Danio rerio: one gene and its partner. The protein of the gene in region 1 binds, or shares a complex with, the protein of each later gene. Links are inferred from orthologs where the notes say so. Each region holds a gene or a part of one and is shown in the gene's direction. Other genes may lie near its edges.

Region 1 (7,229 bases):
GCTTAATTTTTTTTTTTTCAGATTTTTAATTTTTTTTATTATTATTTTATTCATTCATATTTCACTGTGACATGGTGGAAATGTTAAGCTTGACAATATTCAGTTTCAAACACAATATGGGGAAAAATAGGAAACGAAAGTTAGTTTAGATACTTACTGTGTGCACAGCAGATAGGCCTGTCATGGTATCTATTTTTTGTGGTTTGATATATAGCAACAAATGTTATTGCGATAAACAATATTATCATTATTTTAAGACCATTTTGACACTATAATAGCATCGTAATGCAAGTACACCCCTCCAAAGAACACAATATTTTATTCTTAAGAATATTTAATTATAGTCATTTTAACAATTTAATAATTAGGTATTGTAATTTCATAGAAAACGTATATCCTAAACAAATAAATAATAATATTAATACTATATACTAATACTATAATAATTAATAGTAAATACTATAGTGTTTTTTTTAACCATACTAACACTGACAGATTATAAACGTAATCAGCTACAATGTGGCTAGAACTAGAATAGTTTTTCATGTATGGGCGATATATGTTGCATCACCAAAAATGATTGAAAACATGTCTGTGTGTTGTACGATAAGTCAATATATTGATTATTGTGACAGGCCGAACAGCAGATGTTTTAACCTCCTCTGTAGAGGGTTTCTTATTCGAGCATTTACTACATTATGATGGAGTGGACAACAATTTTAAGGACCAATGCAAAATGGTTAATAATGTTATGAAAACAAAATAAACGTTATCAAAATGACATATTTTAACAAATAACTTGTTTAAGACTTAACTTGTTTTTTTTTTTAATCTTTTCAATTTTATCTAATTTACCTACTTTTTAGATTCACTGAAGTTGGCTGTGTAGTGTGTGGGACATGGAAAAATCACATTCATTCAGTAAAAGAATATTGGAAAATTTGACAGACATATTTCAAAACACTTCTAATTCTACCCGCTTGTGTGTAAAGGTTTTACCAATTATATTAAAACATCAGAAGTTCATTATTTCGCATTAAGTTCATATAGGACTGATTCAATCATGTGAGACATCAAAGGCACTTTATAGTGATAATAGCCCAAATACATTGTAAACATACAATATACAAAAGGTGTAACAGGGAGAAATGTGTTAACATTTTATGAAGAATGCTATGTAACTGACAATTTTATATCTGTAATGTACTTCAGCAGTAAAAACAAACAAACAACAAAAAAAACATTATTTTTCTGTTATTGTAACTTTGTTCAATTTTTAAAGGGTACTTCCAAAAATTGAAATTATGTCATGATTTACTCACTTAGACTTGTTCTAAATGAGTTAACCTTTTTTTTCCATAAAAGAAGAAGAAATGAAGAAAAGAAGAATGTTGGAAACATTGACTCATTTTTATAATTAGTTAGTAAATGCAGTTAATGTATTACTAAATGCTCAATCTAAATGGTTTATTTGAATCAGAATTTGTTGACCCAATAACAGATGCAATCAGATTGGTCCAGTTTAAAAATGAATAATTCGGTACGATTTGGTACAATGTTTTGGACTCAAATGTAGTAGTAGTGGTAATTAAAAGTAAACATTTTCTAAAATAAAAAAAAAAACTTTAATAAAGTACTGATAGTGAAGTAAACAGTACAGTTTTGATTAAAAAAAATACAAAAGGACTGCCCATCATTGTTAGTTGAGGATTGTTACAAAACAAAATCACAAATAAATCTAGCCATTGTGATTTTATAGGCATTACAAAATTGCAGTAAAATAATATTTGTAAAAATTTACTTGTAGATTGAATTGTAGCTGTTCAGTAAATAAATGTCTCCTTTCCTCAACAGTTAAACAAGCTGGCAAAGATTTCACCTATTTGATCGTAGTGCTCATTGGACTCGGTGTAACAGGTAACCAGGTCTGGATTGACGACTCTTATGTTTCAGGGCCCCATTCTCTGTTCTTACTGTGCCAGAAAACCAACAGAAAGCACCAACATGCATTTCCTAATGATGATAACAGGATGATGTCTAAATAGTGATATTAGTTATATTTTATTCACTTTGGATTTTGTATCAGCAAAATGTTCATTATTGCTAACATAGTAATTAATTTTAGCAACATGCAGGTCATGAGTTTAGACATTCTAGGAATGCTAACCATTTTTGTTATGCTGACAAAATGCTAACTCATTTGCATTAAAACATGCTAATAACAGTATATGTTATGAATATGCTAAAACATACATGTGGCTATGTAGTAAATGGTCATTCGTTCTAGTAATGCTTGCAATGGTTTAAACATGTTAAGAAATTTGCAATGTATTGCTTAAAGACAAAATTATCTGTTTACATATATTATGTAATAACCAAATACTATTTAATAAAAATGCAACAAAATTACTAAAATTAACAACTACTTCATTATAGTTTATTATTGTTCAGTAGTTTTTTTTTTTTTAATGATTTTAGTAATTTTGTGTATGATATTTTTCCACGCACATAGTGATCTTAACAACTTTGAACTCATTCATTAATTTTCTTGTCGGCTTAGTCCCTTTATTAATCTGTGGTCGCCACAGCGGAATGAACCGCCAACTTATCCAGCAAGTTTTTACACAGCGGATGCCCTTCCAGCCGCAACCCATCTCTGGGAAACATCCACACACACTCATACACTACGGACAATTTAGCCTACCCAATTCACCTGTACCGCATGTCTTTGGACTGTGGGGGAAACCAGAGCACCCGGAGGAAACCTACACAAAGGCAGGGAGAACATGCAAACTCCACAAAGAAACGCCAACTGAGCCGAGGTTCGAACCAGCGACCTTCTAGCTGTGAGGCTACAACACTTCCTACTGCGCCATATAACATATAAATAAACAAGTATTTATATTTCATTTCAGCTCCAAAGTCTTTTTTTTTGTTAACGATAACACTGACTCAAATACAATACATGAGACAGACATTATAATCATACAAATCAGTTAAATTCATATGTATTTATATAGCACTTTTTACTATATATATATATATATATATATATATATATATATATATATATATATATATATATATATATATATATATATATATATATATTGTGTCAATACAGCTAGCCATAGTCATAACATGATAAAGCCATCACTTTGCAAAACTGTGGAACCTTTTAGCAATTCAGGCAGGCAGGCAGGTTATAATCATTTCTATGCATATTTTTTTTAATTTGTATATACATATTATTCAGCAGTATAATAAGTGAACCGATTAATGTTTTCTAATCGCTTTAGGTGGCCTGCTGTATGTGGTCTTTCAAGAACTCTTTTCCTCTTCAAGCCCAAGCAAAATCTATGGAAAAGCTTTCGAGAGGTGCAGATCTCATCCAGAGGTCAGTGATTCATTAGCTATATATATCACATATGTGTAAACCTAATGTCTGAAATGCATGAATAAATCAGCCTGTTGACTACAACTTGTGATCTAATCATATTGAGCTAATCATATTCATCTGTAACATATGTTCATAGTTTTTCTACTGTAGTGTGCATACAGTACATCTTTTACCTCATTTAAACATTATAATATGTCTATGTTGAGAGGTAAGCATGATAGAACACCCAATAAAGGGGGAGAGCATGCTCAGAGCCTGGCGGCTAATCAGCAGGCCAAAAACTAGAATAAACAGGTGTTGCTTATTATTTCTGATTGGCCTGCTGATTAGCCGCCGGGCTCTGAGCATGCTCTCCCCCTTTATTGGGTGTTCGATCATGCTTACCTCTCCACAGTCTATATTAAGTAAACCTATAAATTACAGTGCATCCAGAAAGTATTCATAGCGCTTTCCTTTTTCACACATTTTTTTACAGCCTTATTCCGAAGTGAATAAAATTTATTTATTTCCTCAATTCTACACACAATACCCCATAATGACACTGTGAAAAAAAGAGTTTTTGAAATTGTTTAAAATGTATTAAAAATAAAATACCTGAAAAATCACATGAAAATAAGTATTGACAGCCTTTGCCATAAAGCTCTAAATTGAGCTCAGGTATATTCTGTTTCCACTGATCATTCATGAGGTGTTTCAGCAGCTTAATTGGAGTTCACCTGTGGTAAATTCAGTTGATTGGGCATGATTTGAATTTGAAAAGGCATACACCTGTCTATATAAGGTCTCAGGGTTGACAGTGCATGTCAAAACACAAACCAAGCATGAAGACAAAGGAATTGTTTGTAGACCTCAGAGACAGGATTGTCTCCAGACTCGGGAGGGTTGCAGAAAAAAATTCTGCTGCTCTGAAAGTTCCAATGAGCACAGTGGCCTCCATCATGCGTAAGTAGAAGATGTTTAGAATCACCAGGACTCTTCCTAGAGCTGGCCAGCCATCTAAGCTGAGTGATCGGGTGGAAGAGCCTTAGTCAGGGAGGGGATCAGTAACCCGATAGTCACTCTGTCTGAGCTTCAGCGTTCTTCTGTGGAGAGAGGAGAACTTTACAGAAGGACAACCATCTGTGTAGCAAGTAGATCTGTGTATGGTAGATTGGCCAGATGGAAGCCCATCTGGAATTTGCCAAAAGGCATCTGAAGGACTCTCAGAGCATAAGAAACAAAATTCTCTGGTCTGATGAGACATAAATTGAACTCTTTGGAGTGAATGCCATGCGTTACGTTTGGAGAAAACCATGTACTGCTCATCTCCAGGCTAATACCATACCATGTTTTTCAGCCGCAGAAACTGGAAGAATAGTTAGGATAGAGGGAAAGATGAATGCAGCAATGTACAGAGACATCCTGAATGAAAACCTGCTTCAGAGTGCTCTTGACCTCAGACTTGGGCAATGGTTCATCTTCCAGCAGGGTAATGACCCAAAACACACTGCCAAAATATGGAGTGGCTTTACAACAACTCTGTGAATGTTCTTGAGTGGTCCAGCCAGAGCCCAGACTTAAATCCTATTGAACCTTATGGAGAGATCTGAAAATGGCTGTACACCGTTTCTTCCTTTTTAACTTGATAGAGCTTGAGAGGTAGTGCTAGAGGAATGGGCAAAAAATCCCAAAGACCTGTGCCAAGCTTGTGGCGTCATATTCAAAAAGACTTGAGGCTGTAATTGCTGCTAAAGGTGCATAAAAAAGGATTGAACAAAGGCTGTGAATACTTATGTTTATGTGATTTTTCAGGTTTTTTTACTTTTAATAAATTTGCAACAATTTCAAAAACTCTTTTTTGCACATTGTCATTATGGGGTATTGAGTGTAGAATTTTGAGGAAATAAGTGAATTCAATCCATTTTGGAATAAGGCTGTAACATAAAAAAATTTGGAAAAAGTGAAGCGCTATGAATATTTTCCGGATGCATGCACATTTAACTTGAGTATGTTTGCACTCTGGTTAAATGTTAACTGCATTTCGTTACCCTATACTCAACATGTGTATTGACAATAAATAAAATACGTTTAATCGATGTTGATGGTGACTCTATGCTAACCTATATTTGCTAAGGTAATTGGAGCTTTTGGAGAGCCTATTAAAGGCTTTGGGGAAACTAGTAGACGTGGCAGAAGGCAACAAGTCAGGTAAAATACATAATATCAGTAAACTCAAACTCTTCTGTGAGATCTCATATCTCAATTATTACATATTTGTTTTTTTTTTTCTTTAGTCATTTGGAGTACATGAAGGATGGACTCAAGTACATGCGGCTGAAATTCTACATTGAGGGATCTGAACCAGGATTGCGAGGAACTGTTCATTCAGAATCAAAGGAGGTATGATGTAATATCACAAAAAGAAAATAAGTTTGTTTCATGCAAAGATGTGTTTTTTTACAGTTTTTCCTTTGTGACAGAATCCTGAGACAGGGAAGTATGAATTTCGGTATATTTTTGTGGAGATAGACACATATCCGAGGAGAACAATCGTCATTGAAGACAACAGATGAAACGAGTTTTGTAACGGTGTTAAATGCATATTGATGATTTTCAGTAGCAGACAGTGTTTTTCTTCTGATTGCTGAATTTATACTGGTGTTCTAATTAATCAAGCTTGGATTTGTCATGCTTGAATTTTGATGTGTCGCAAGATTGCGTTAATAACTGTGTATCTAGAAATTTTGACAAAGTCAAATATTGTGCATTTTGTACAAGGATTTATATGTTTGTTTTTGTGGAATTAGTGGTTTGCAATAAATATTATATAGGAAAGCATTTTAATCCATGCAATTTGAAATACAGATTAATAAAGCTATTTGATGCCATTATTGAAAATTGACTGTTGTCCTTTTAAAGTGATAGAAAAATTCATCCAATCTAAGCTTTTTAATTTTTTCTGTTTACTTTTATTTGTAAAAAATGTTTAAACATCACTTACTACTGTTTTTAGCAGAGCATTTTTTAAACTAATGCCAAAAACCAAGTGTGCCGCAAGCCTACGTTTGAGTGAAGGTTTCGGCCGTTAGATCGCCCCCTGGGGGCTGGCTGCAGTACAAGTCATAAAGCCCGCCTCCTCCGTGTTAATGAAGGAGACTTGAGCCCAAATAAAAAAAAATATTACACTTGCAATAAAATGTCCCGAAAGATAGTTCTGGTCGATTAAGGCACTGGTTATTGTGCTGAAATAGGTGCAGATCTTCATTTTTGTAAACAGTTTGTTTTTAGCAGTAATTTAATGCTGGGCGTGTCATCGTGATTGACAGCTGTGATTGACAGTTTCTCAAAGCGCGGCGTTTGAGCTTCGGCAGGAGACTGAAGTAGACTGAAATGTTATTATTCGATTTCTGTGTTATTTTACCATGACAAAATGAGTTCAGCAGTAAACTATAGTTTCTGACATACATGATCCTGGTGGAACACTGTTTATTCGCTAAGTTCAGGGCTTTTTTCGGGCTTTATTAGTTTGCTGATACACGCCTAGCCACCCAGATAGCAAAACACAGTTCCGGCTAGATTCTCGCCTGCCGGAGACTTATCTCTTAGAGCTCAGACTGACTAATGTTACCTCTGCTGGACCTACTCCGGATGCCTGGACTCACTGCCCGATTCCAGTCCGAGTCAATCGAGCCAGATGCGGCGGCCGAGCGAGCCGGTGCTGCCGCATGCGAGCCGGAATCAGCCCGCGACGCCGCGAGTAAGTTATGCGCTGCGGCCTGGAGCTGGCGCGATTGAATATATAAAACCCTCATATTTGTTAACGTTATTACATCCATTTGTGTTGATATGA
Region 2 (8,862 bases), on another chromosome or scaffold:
CTGCATGTTTTAGGTCATGTGACTGTGTGAGCATTTAAAGAGAGTTTAAAGCATTTTTGTAGTGCACAAAAAAGTTTCATAAAGATTATTTTTATTAAATTATTTGGTGAAGACTATACAGTGCAATTTTACGTTTGATTATTCAATTTCTGTACCTGAATACTGTTGCTCACTCCAGAAAACTATAAAGCATTGTTTATTTCACTTTAATATTAGCTCAGTTGTGTTTATTTATGACTGTATTTTTTGTATATAATAGATTACAAATATATATATATATATATATATATATATATATATATATATATATATATATATATATATATATATATATATATATATATATATATATATATACATGTTTATCACTCCCCTACAAAATCATACCAAGTAATGACTTTGCAAATAGAGCTATTTAAGTCATCTGGTGAAATAAGATCACAATATATATGGCAGAGAATTTTTTTTACAATGTTTCCAATATCATGCAGCCCTAATCAGAAGTGTGTCATTTTTAAAAGCAAAACAACATTTTTTTATTTTATAATTTTCTGTATGTAAGCCCACCGGTCCTACACCGCCCAACCCACTCAGAGCTGGGATCGAACCAGCGACCTCCCGCATGGGAGTCGGTTGCTCTAACAAGGAGGCTAAAAAACATGGCCTCTAGCGTCTGTCGCTAGAGCACCTTTAGAGGTCAGAGGAGTGAGGTTTACCTGCACAGCACAACACACACTAGCTGGCCTCCGTTACACTCACCCCCAAACCTCAATCCCATACGGGTCACGGCACCAACGTAACCCAGAGGTCAGAGGAGTGAGGTCAGGAGTGAGGTTTACCTGCACAGCACTCACTAGCTGGCCTCCGATACATGTATACATCCTGTTCAAAAGTATTTTATATTTCTAAACTAAGCCTCTTACGCTTAGCGATTACTCAATCAAAAATACAGTAAAAAGTTATACAGTGCTGTCAGATATTGTTAAAATTTAAAATAGCTGTTTTCAGTTTTAATAATATACTTATAACGTTTCCCAGCATGGTACTAGATTGTGGCTGGATAAAACCATATGTGTAGTTGAAAAACGATTACCGTTTTGAAGGTATACCGCCGTTTGGAAGAGGCAAGGTCCTATACAAACATTTATTTACATTTTTTAAATTTTAGGTCAACAGTGTCTCCAGCAGAAAAGATATTAAAAGATGTTGTTTAAAATTGTAATGAATCTGTGTGTTAGAAACACATGAAGACAGCAGAAGTCAAAGATTCAGTTGAATTATTTAGCTTGACATGTTTACTGCTCCAAAATACTTTAAATGTTTCTCAAAATAAAAGATATTGTGTTCAAAGAGAAAAAAAGTTTTAGTATTTTACCCAGACAATAAAAAAAAGAATATATTTTACAGCAGCAATCAACTGTAATACTGCTATCCAAAGTTATCATACCATCAGAATCTTACACCAGCCCATGGCTAGGTGGTTTATTCCACTGTGGCGACCGGCCCTGATAAATCAGAAACTAAGCTGAAGGAAAATGAATGAATGATACGAATAATTGTGAAAATATCATTTATTTCGGTAAAAATTGAGAAAATGTTGAAAATTTATTCCTCATTTTTTTCTTATTATATTTTGGAAAATATTCTTATGATTAATATTTCTGTGGAAACTATAATTTAGGGAATAAAAGCAGTCATTTAAAATAACTAATTCTTTATACAATACATACATTGTTCATTTGAACCAATATAATGCACTTTTGCCGAATAAAATCACCAAATATTTTCTTAATTTGGATTTTAATTTGCTACATACACCTTTTTAAACCATTGATTCTAAATTAATGTTGGTTTAAACGTTATCTTCATTTTAACGCAGTTATTTATGCCTTTGTGTTTCTAAATGTAACCTACATTCTCTAAGTAAACAGCAACGCTCAGCTCTAATGCACTGGCACAGTCTGGCAGTGATGGATACCAATAAATAAGTAATAAAGCTTCACATAAAAAGAACGGAACTCAATTTATGACGTTAGAGAATTATAAAAACATAGTTTTCACACAAAATGTGTTAACAGTGCTTGACTCTTCTGTGGAGCACAAAAGGCAGAATGACTCTCAGTGTTCATTCAGTTTCATTGTTTGTTAAAAGAAGTAAATGGTAACGATGTCAAAACAGTTCCACGGATAGAAGGGAACATACAGTTTGATAACAACAAGAAGAATGCGAGTAAATCATTTCATTTTAATTTTGGATATACCGTTACTATTGCTTTAACGCTCATTAGTGGAGTGTTTTAGATCCGTCACTGTCAGGAAATGATAGCCTTTTAGTTTCGTCTCAGATGAAAGTGAATGATAGTGTGCTTAATATACCAACGTACGGTACAGCTAAACAACTCTGTAAACTACGAACCAAACGGCTTAGTATACGACAAAAACAAATGTAAAGCCGGTGTGAGACACAACAGGAGGAAGCTGGAGCTGGAGTACCTTGGGTTTGGTACCCACACCCGCGCGGTCCGGTCTCTGGACACCGACACGAACGCTCCGTCCGGGAAGGCGACAGCGGCAAGACCCCGGACATCCATGTCGTGCGCCGGGAGAGAAGAGCGCAGTCTGTATGAGTTACTGCCGGACATTTTTACAGCTGAGAGACGGCGATCACTACACACACTGACACAGCAACACTACACACATACACAATGCATGACGGGACAACACCGGGCAAAATAAAAGCCGCACTATCAATTATAACACTGACATGATCATATGAAATACTTCTATTTTTATGAGTACAATATCATACTTCTGTAAATATTCATTAACATTATAATAACCCTAATTTTGCGCTTGAAGTATGCATAATATATTTTAGTTAAGAACAGACTTTAAACTTTTTATTTCTAACGTGAACTTCACCCCGGAACAACTTGAGTGTGTTTGCGTCCTCGAGTGAGGTGAAACTGTCAAAATCATGTCCAGTTCTAAGAGGATAACGCTCATATTTGGAGGCTTCGTTGCAGCTGTTGCTGCAGCTTTTTATCCTATATTTTTTCATCCTCTCACACACTCTGAAGACTACAGTAAGTGTTTAATATCACTACTACACATGAAGTCACCGTGACACAGCCTAAACTTAACTTATGTCATAACGTCACATTCGATTACCCTGCATTTTGTAACTTATTAATCGTATTGGAATAATATATTTGGTGACATAGATTGGGATTAACGTTAGGCATGGGAAAATAACTGTTAACGGTTTTCAAGGTATAGCGCGGTTTGCAAAAGTTAAGATTTTAAAATTGTCAACATTTTCTTATATAACTTACCGTTTCTAAGGTATGTGTACGATTTTTTATTTACATTTCTTTTTTATGACAACAGTATCTCCAGCAGAAACGATATCCAACGATGTCATTTTAAATGGTTAAAAAGTTAGTGTTTTTAAATCAATTGAAGACCACATAAGTCAATGATTCATTTGAATTATTTAGCCTCACATGTTAACTGTTCTAAACAATTTTAACTGTTTCTCCAAATAAAATATATTGTGTTTAAAGTGGGGGAAAATGTTTTATTTTTACCCAGATATTTAAAAAAAAATACATTTTAGATCAGTAATCACAATACCATATACAGTATTACCGTAGAACCGTGAAACTGTCATATTTTATTCAAGGTTATCATACTGTCAGAATCTTATCTTATAAATTTATTTTCATCTAATAAAGCTGTTAAAGTCTCAATCAAAATAATTCATAATTGCCATCCAATAAATACCAAAACTAGCTAAATATAATAACAATATTTTCCCTTTATGCATTTTGTACTCAATATAATGAAACACTAAATAATTTATTTTGGGAGTGCACTTCCTGTCAAGTGTTTTGGGTTGACTTTTTCGATTTCATTAAAAAAAATCTTATTTCCAAATTTCTGTATTTCCCCAAAATGTTTTTCTTTGGTTACTTTCTGAATGTAGATCCTTCTCTTTGTAAATTTATTATTAATTTATTGCTTTTTTTGGCTAAATTTTACATTCATAAATGTAAATAAAAAAAAAAACATCCTTACTTTTTATTTTCAGAAAGGACTATTATATTACATGTAAAACTCTTTTAAACTTGTTTATTTTGCTGGAATTTTAGTCATGTAACCCTTTTTGTTTCTTTGTTCATACTGTATCTTTGTATTGTTCTTTCTTGTATGATAAAAAAGAACTTTAAAAATACATTTAAAAAACGTATTATTGGGATAATCAGGTTGAACAGTCGTTATAATCTGATGTAAATTATAGAAATAATATTTCAGTGTTTTAAGGAATGTACACATATTATGATGCTGATTTTATTCTACGTTGAATTACATACAATGCAGAGCTCTCTTGAATGAGACATGTTGTATGTATATTAGGTTAGGTTACTTATACCCAAAGGTAGATTTGGTTTGCAGTCAAGAGTCCTCATTTCATAGCAGTGCCACACTAAAAAACTCACATAGTGACAACAACAAATAGACATAAAACATAAACGTACAAAACGTACACTCTTTAAAAAAAAAAAAAAAAAGAATAAATAAATAATTATTTCAAGAGCCAAAATCACTCTGGACCCCTCACACCCAGCACACTGCCTCTTTGAATTTTTACCTTCTGGTCGACGCTACCGAGCACTGTGCACCAGAACAGCCCAACACAATAACAGATTCTTCCCTCAGGCAATCCATCTCATAATTATGAAAAGAAAAAACATCACTACTTGCTATAGCTATACACTTTTAATCCACATATACACTTATTTAGCAACATACTTTACATGCCAATTTACACATAACAGCTGCACATATAACGTATATAATAATACACATGTACACACACTTGTCAATTTGTATATTTGCATTCACTTTCTACTTCTATTTTTAAAATACATTTTTTTATCTGTTTTTTTGTCCTGTCTTTGTAATTCTGTTGCACTGTAGAAAGCTCTGTCAGGAAAGCACGTGTGAACACACCTGGCAGTAAAGCTTTTTCTGATTCTGATATACAAGTATCGTTTACTTCTACAGCTTGTTACAAGAAACCAACGACTAGATGGAAGGAGCTGAAACTCTGAGTGTAGGGGATTTTTATTATGTGTTAAGTTAACTTAATTGATTTGTGTTGGGAATTGCGTGGATTCCAGCATTTTGCATTTTTTTACAGTGCAGTTTTTCAGTGTATCTGCGGAGTCTTAAAAAGTCTTAAATTTCTAAAACAAAATTGAAGGCCTTAAAAAGTCATATTCACTGGAATATTGTGTTGTAGGTCTTAAATCATTTTAAACTGATCTTAATTTTCCTCTGTCCAATTAAAGCTACACAATCGGGCAAACATCCATCCAATCACCAACAATCCATCTTAATAAAATCAAGGAAAGAGAACTAAAAACCATTACACAGTTCCTCATGATAATAACAGAGTAATATATCCCTTTCCTTTCCCAGGGATGGGTTGCAGCTGGAAGGTCATCCACTGCGTGAAACAGGTGCTGGATAAGTTGGTGGTTGATTTCGCTGTGGAGATCCCAGATAATAAAAAGACTGAGCCGAAAGAAAATGAATGAATATATCCCTTAACATTATCTTCCATTCATACAAAAACTCTTTACAGAAGTAAGGGGGAGTAGACATAATATTTATAAATAGGCATTAAACTTAAAGTTTTTATGAACAGAAACACATTAGGTTGAATAGAAGTTAATACTCAATCAATTTAGACCAAAGGCCAACAAATATATAGTTTGGTTATTTATGGAATTGCCTCCACAATAAATATACTTTTAACAATGTTAAACTTGTCATTAAAAATAAATAAATATTATGTTGAAAATAGTGAATACAACTAGAGTCTTCCTGTTTTAACACAGTAAAGTGTGTCGCTAAGAAATAATTACAAGCAAAAACAAAAATCTATTATCCCAACTGGGCCATTAGAAATCATCATTAGTGTTTAGCGCTGTATAAGTCTTAAGTTTCATTCGTAATGGTTTTAAAGGGCCCTTTAAAAGTCTTAAATTTGACTTGATGACACCTGCAGAAACCCTGAATTAAAATTCTTTGTATTCTTCTTTTTTTGGTGTCTGAATTTTTCTCTCTCTTGATACAGAGCAAGTGCAGAAGGTGAACCGGGCTGGAGTCAATCAAGCAGACATACAGCCTGTTGGTAAGACATTCATAAACACTCTTTATTTCATATTTTTTATTGCATTAGGGGCTTCGCAATATATCATTTCCATATCGATATTGCAATGTGTGAATCAGCAATAGTCACATCACTGCATCTCAAGCCATTTCAATTGAATTTCAACCACTTGAACGCAAAATTACAATGTTTATAACAGGCATGTCCAAACTCGGTCCTGAAGGGCCGGTGTCCTGCAAAGTTTAGTTCCAACCCCAATCAGACACACCTGGGCTAGCTAATCAAGCTCTTAAGCTGCGGTCACACTGGACTTTTCTTCCCATAGTCTTCCATTCATACGCACGCGAATGCATCAGACCGGAAACGCAGGGTCATGCGTTAAGTTTCGCAGTTCGCTGCGGTGCAGTTCTAGCTTAGTGAATTCTGACCTGCAAAATTGCATCACTTGTCTGTGTGAAACCAATCGAGAAACAAAACATGACCTCTCTGGACAGAAATTTAAAACATGGAGAAATCGCTCGCTTTTTTTAATGTCTAATAATCTTGTTTAGTCCCACCCCCTTTTCGCAGTGCCGTACGACAGAATTTCACACATACAAACGTTGCGTCCGAAACCGCCTACTACTCAATAGGTACTGCATTTGAACTTAAACGTACTACTCGGTCGTTAGTAAAGTATGTTTTATACAGTATGAATGTGAAAAGTATGAATGGAATTCAAACATACTACATCCGCCATTTTGACCCAGTCACGTGAAGTACCTGTGTCATTTGCGTTGCTTTAATCCCATTCATGAATTCGCTCGCGGGGCATCATGGGATAGCGCAGCATGCATACGATTCGCACTCCAGAATCTCGCCGGAAGTAGTAAGTCATCCGGGTACTTCTCGCATACTGCTCTTCGAATTCTATGAATTCACACATACTACTCGGCTCGCATACTGATTTTAGCATACTGTATAGTATGGAAGTATGCGGTTTCGGACTCAGAGTGACCGCAGCTTTACTAGGCTTTCTAGAAACATCATGCAGGTGTGTTGAAGCAAGTTGAAGCTAAAATCTGCAGGATACCGGCCCTCCAGGACCAAGTTTGGACACCCCTGATTTGCCACTTTATCAATCATTAGTTGTATAATTATTTATATTTATGCAATGGTTTATTTTTCATTTGATTATTGATATTGTGTACCTCAATACTGTTAGACTTGACTGAAAACCATAAAGCACTGTTTATGTAATTTTATCTCAGTTCTATTGTTTTCGTTTAATTTTTTTTTCGTATACTTTTTTAAAAATAATTTAGAAAATGTTATGCTAATGCACCCCCCGACAAAATCATCCGAATCAATGTAAAATGACGACTTCTTTCCAAATAGAGCAAGAAAAATATTGTAATGTCAGTTTTTTTCCAATATCGTGGACTTGTATTGCATTGTTAGTGTGAGGGTGCAAACTTGCACATTACACTTCACTTTAGATTAGATTAGATTCAACTTTATTATCATTACAAATGTAGACTACAGAGCAATGAAATGCAGGTAGGCATCTAACCAGAATGCAAATATAAGCAGTAAGTGCAGCAAAGACCAATAATACATACAGATGGTACAATATAGAGATAGCATTATGGATATGAATAAGGTGGGTTGACACAAGCATGGAAAGATATAATATATATTTGTATAAAATATACATGGATGTTTTACTATGGGCAAAGTATACAGTTTAAATTAGGCAATAGATGTATGTACACTATAGCAGTAAAACTATGAACATATTTTAAAGATGGATAAGATTTTTTCCATTCACTCTTGTCAATTGGTGAAGTATGTTCCTCCACTGTTGCCACTAGCTTGCTTGGTTTGGGACCTGTGGAACTGCGCATCAATGAATTTGCTCTTCAGTGTTTGGACTTTCAGCAGTGAAAATGAAACCCCAATGAACTGAACTAAACTGAACTTCAGCTCTGAAAACTGGACTGACACAGTTTCAGTTTACTAGAACTTCTATGTTAAGCTTCTTTGACACAATCTACATTGTAAAAGCGCTATAGAAAGAAACATGAATTGAATTGATTAGATCTAAAATTGTGTAAAGTTGCATGTAATCTGTGATGTGAAGCTATAAGTAGCTTTATTAAGGATCCTAAATTACTAGTTCTGCATACACAGTTAATTTGCATTAGGCCCTATATGAATGATTTTTCAAACACACAGGTTCATTCTATGACTCACAATCATTTATGTGTCTTTTATATTAGGTGTGAAGGTCTGGTCTGATCCCTACAAGCCCAAATCATGACTCCTGTGATTAACTTATGGATGAAAAGGACGAATGCGTCCCTCATGGAGGACTGAGTATTCGAGACACACTGACAAAACTCTTTGCTACCATGCATCAAATAAGACCTTATGTATGGGTGAATATTCCTTACTTGTGGGAATGATTAATGAGAACGACTTGTCAACAAACTAAAAATGTAAAGCATTTAAAAAATATGATAATTGACTTTTTGTTTGTACTCATTCAGGTTTATTTATGGAGTAACTTTGTTTTGCCGTTATTGTTCTGAATAAAATCAAATCTTAAACTGTTGTAATTGTTTTGCAAGTATATGATCACTAGATGGCGCTCAGTCCATCTTGTATGCTACGAGATTCTGCTTATATACTGAAGC

The links. Proteins that work in one complex are often made in the same cells at the same time.
Region 2: timm21 (region 1) and smim20 share a complex: the UniProt entries of both Homo sapiens proteins name them as parts of the MITRAC (mitochondrial translation regulation assembly intermediate of cytochrome c oxidase complex) complex. The link is inferred for Danio rerio from reciprocal best matches to the Homo sapiens genes TIMM21 and SMIM20.

Annotation. Positions count from the first base shown.
Region 1 is NC_133199.1:17,613,753-17,620,981, forward strand, and holds the end of timm21 (mitochondrial import inner membrane translocase subunit Tim21), read left to right. Parts: intron 1-1,854; coding exon 1,855-1,917; intron 1,918-3,299; coding exon 3,300-3,397; intron 3,398-5,513; coding exon 5,514-5,587; intron 5,588-5,673; coding exon 5,674-5,779; intron 5,780-5,859; coding exon 5,860-5,952; 3' UTR 5,953-6,277; downstream 6,278-7,229. UniProt on the Homo sapiens protein: Participates in the translocation of transit peptide-containing proteins across the mitochondrial inner membrane.
Region 2 is NC_133182.1:65,049,378-65,058,239, forward strand, and holds smim20 (small integral membrane protein 20), read left to right. Parts: upstream 1-2,920; 5' UTR 2,921-2,977; coding exon 2,978-3,086; intron 3,087-6,148; coding exon 6,149-6,205; intron 6,206-8,445; coding exon 8,446-8,486; 3' UTR 8,487-8,784; downstream 8,785-8,862.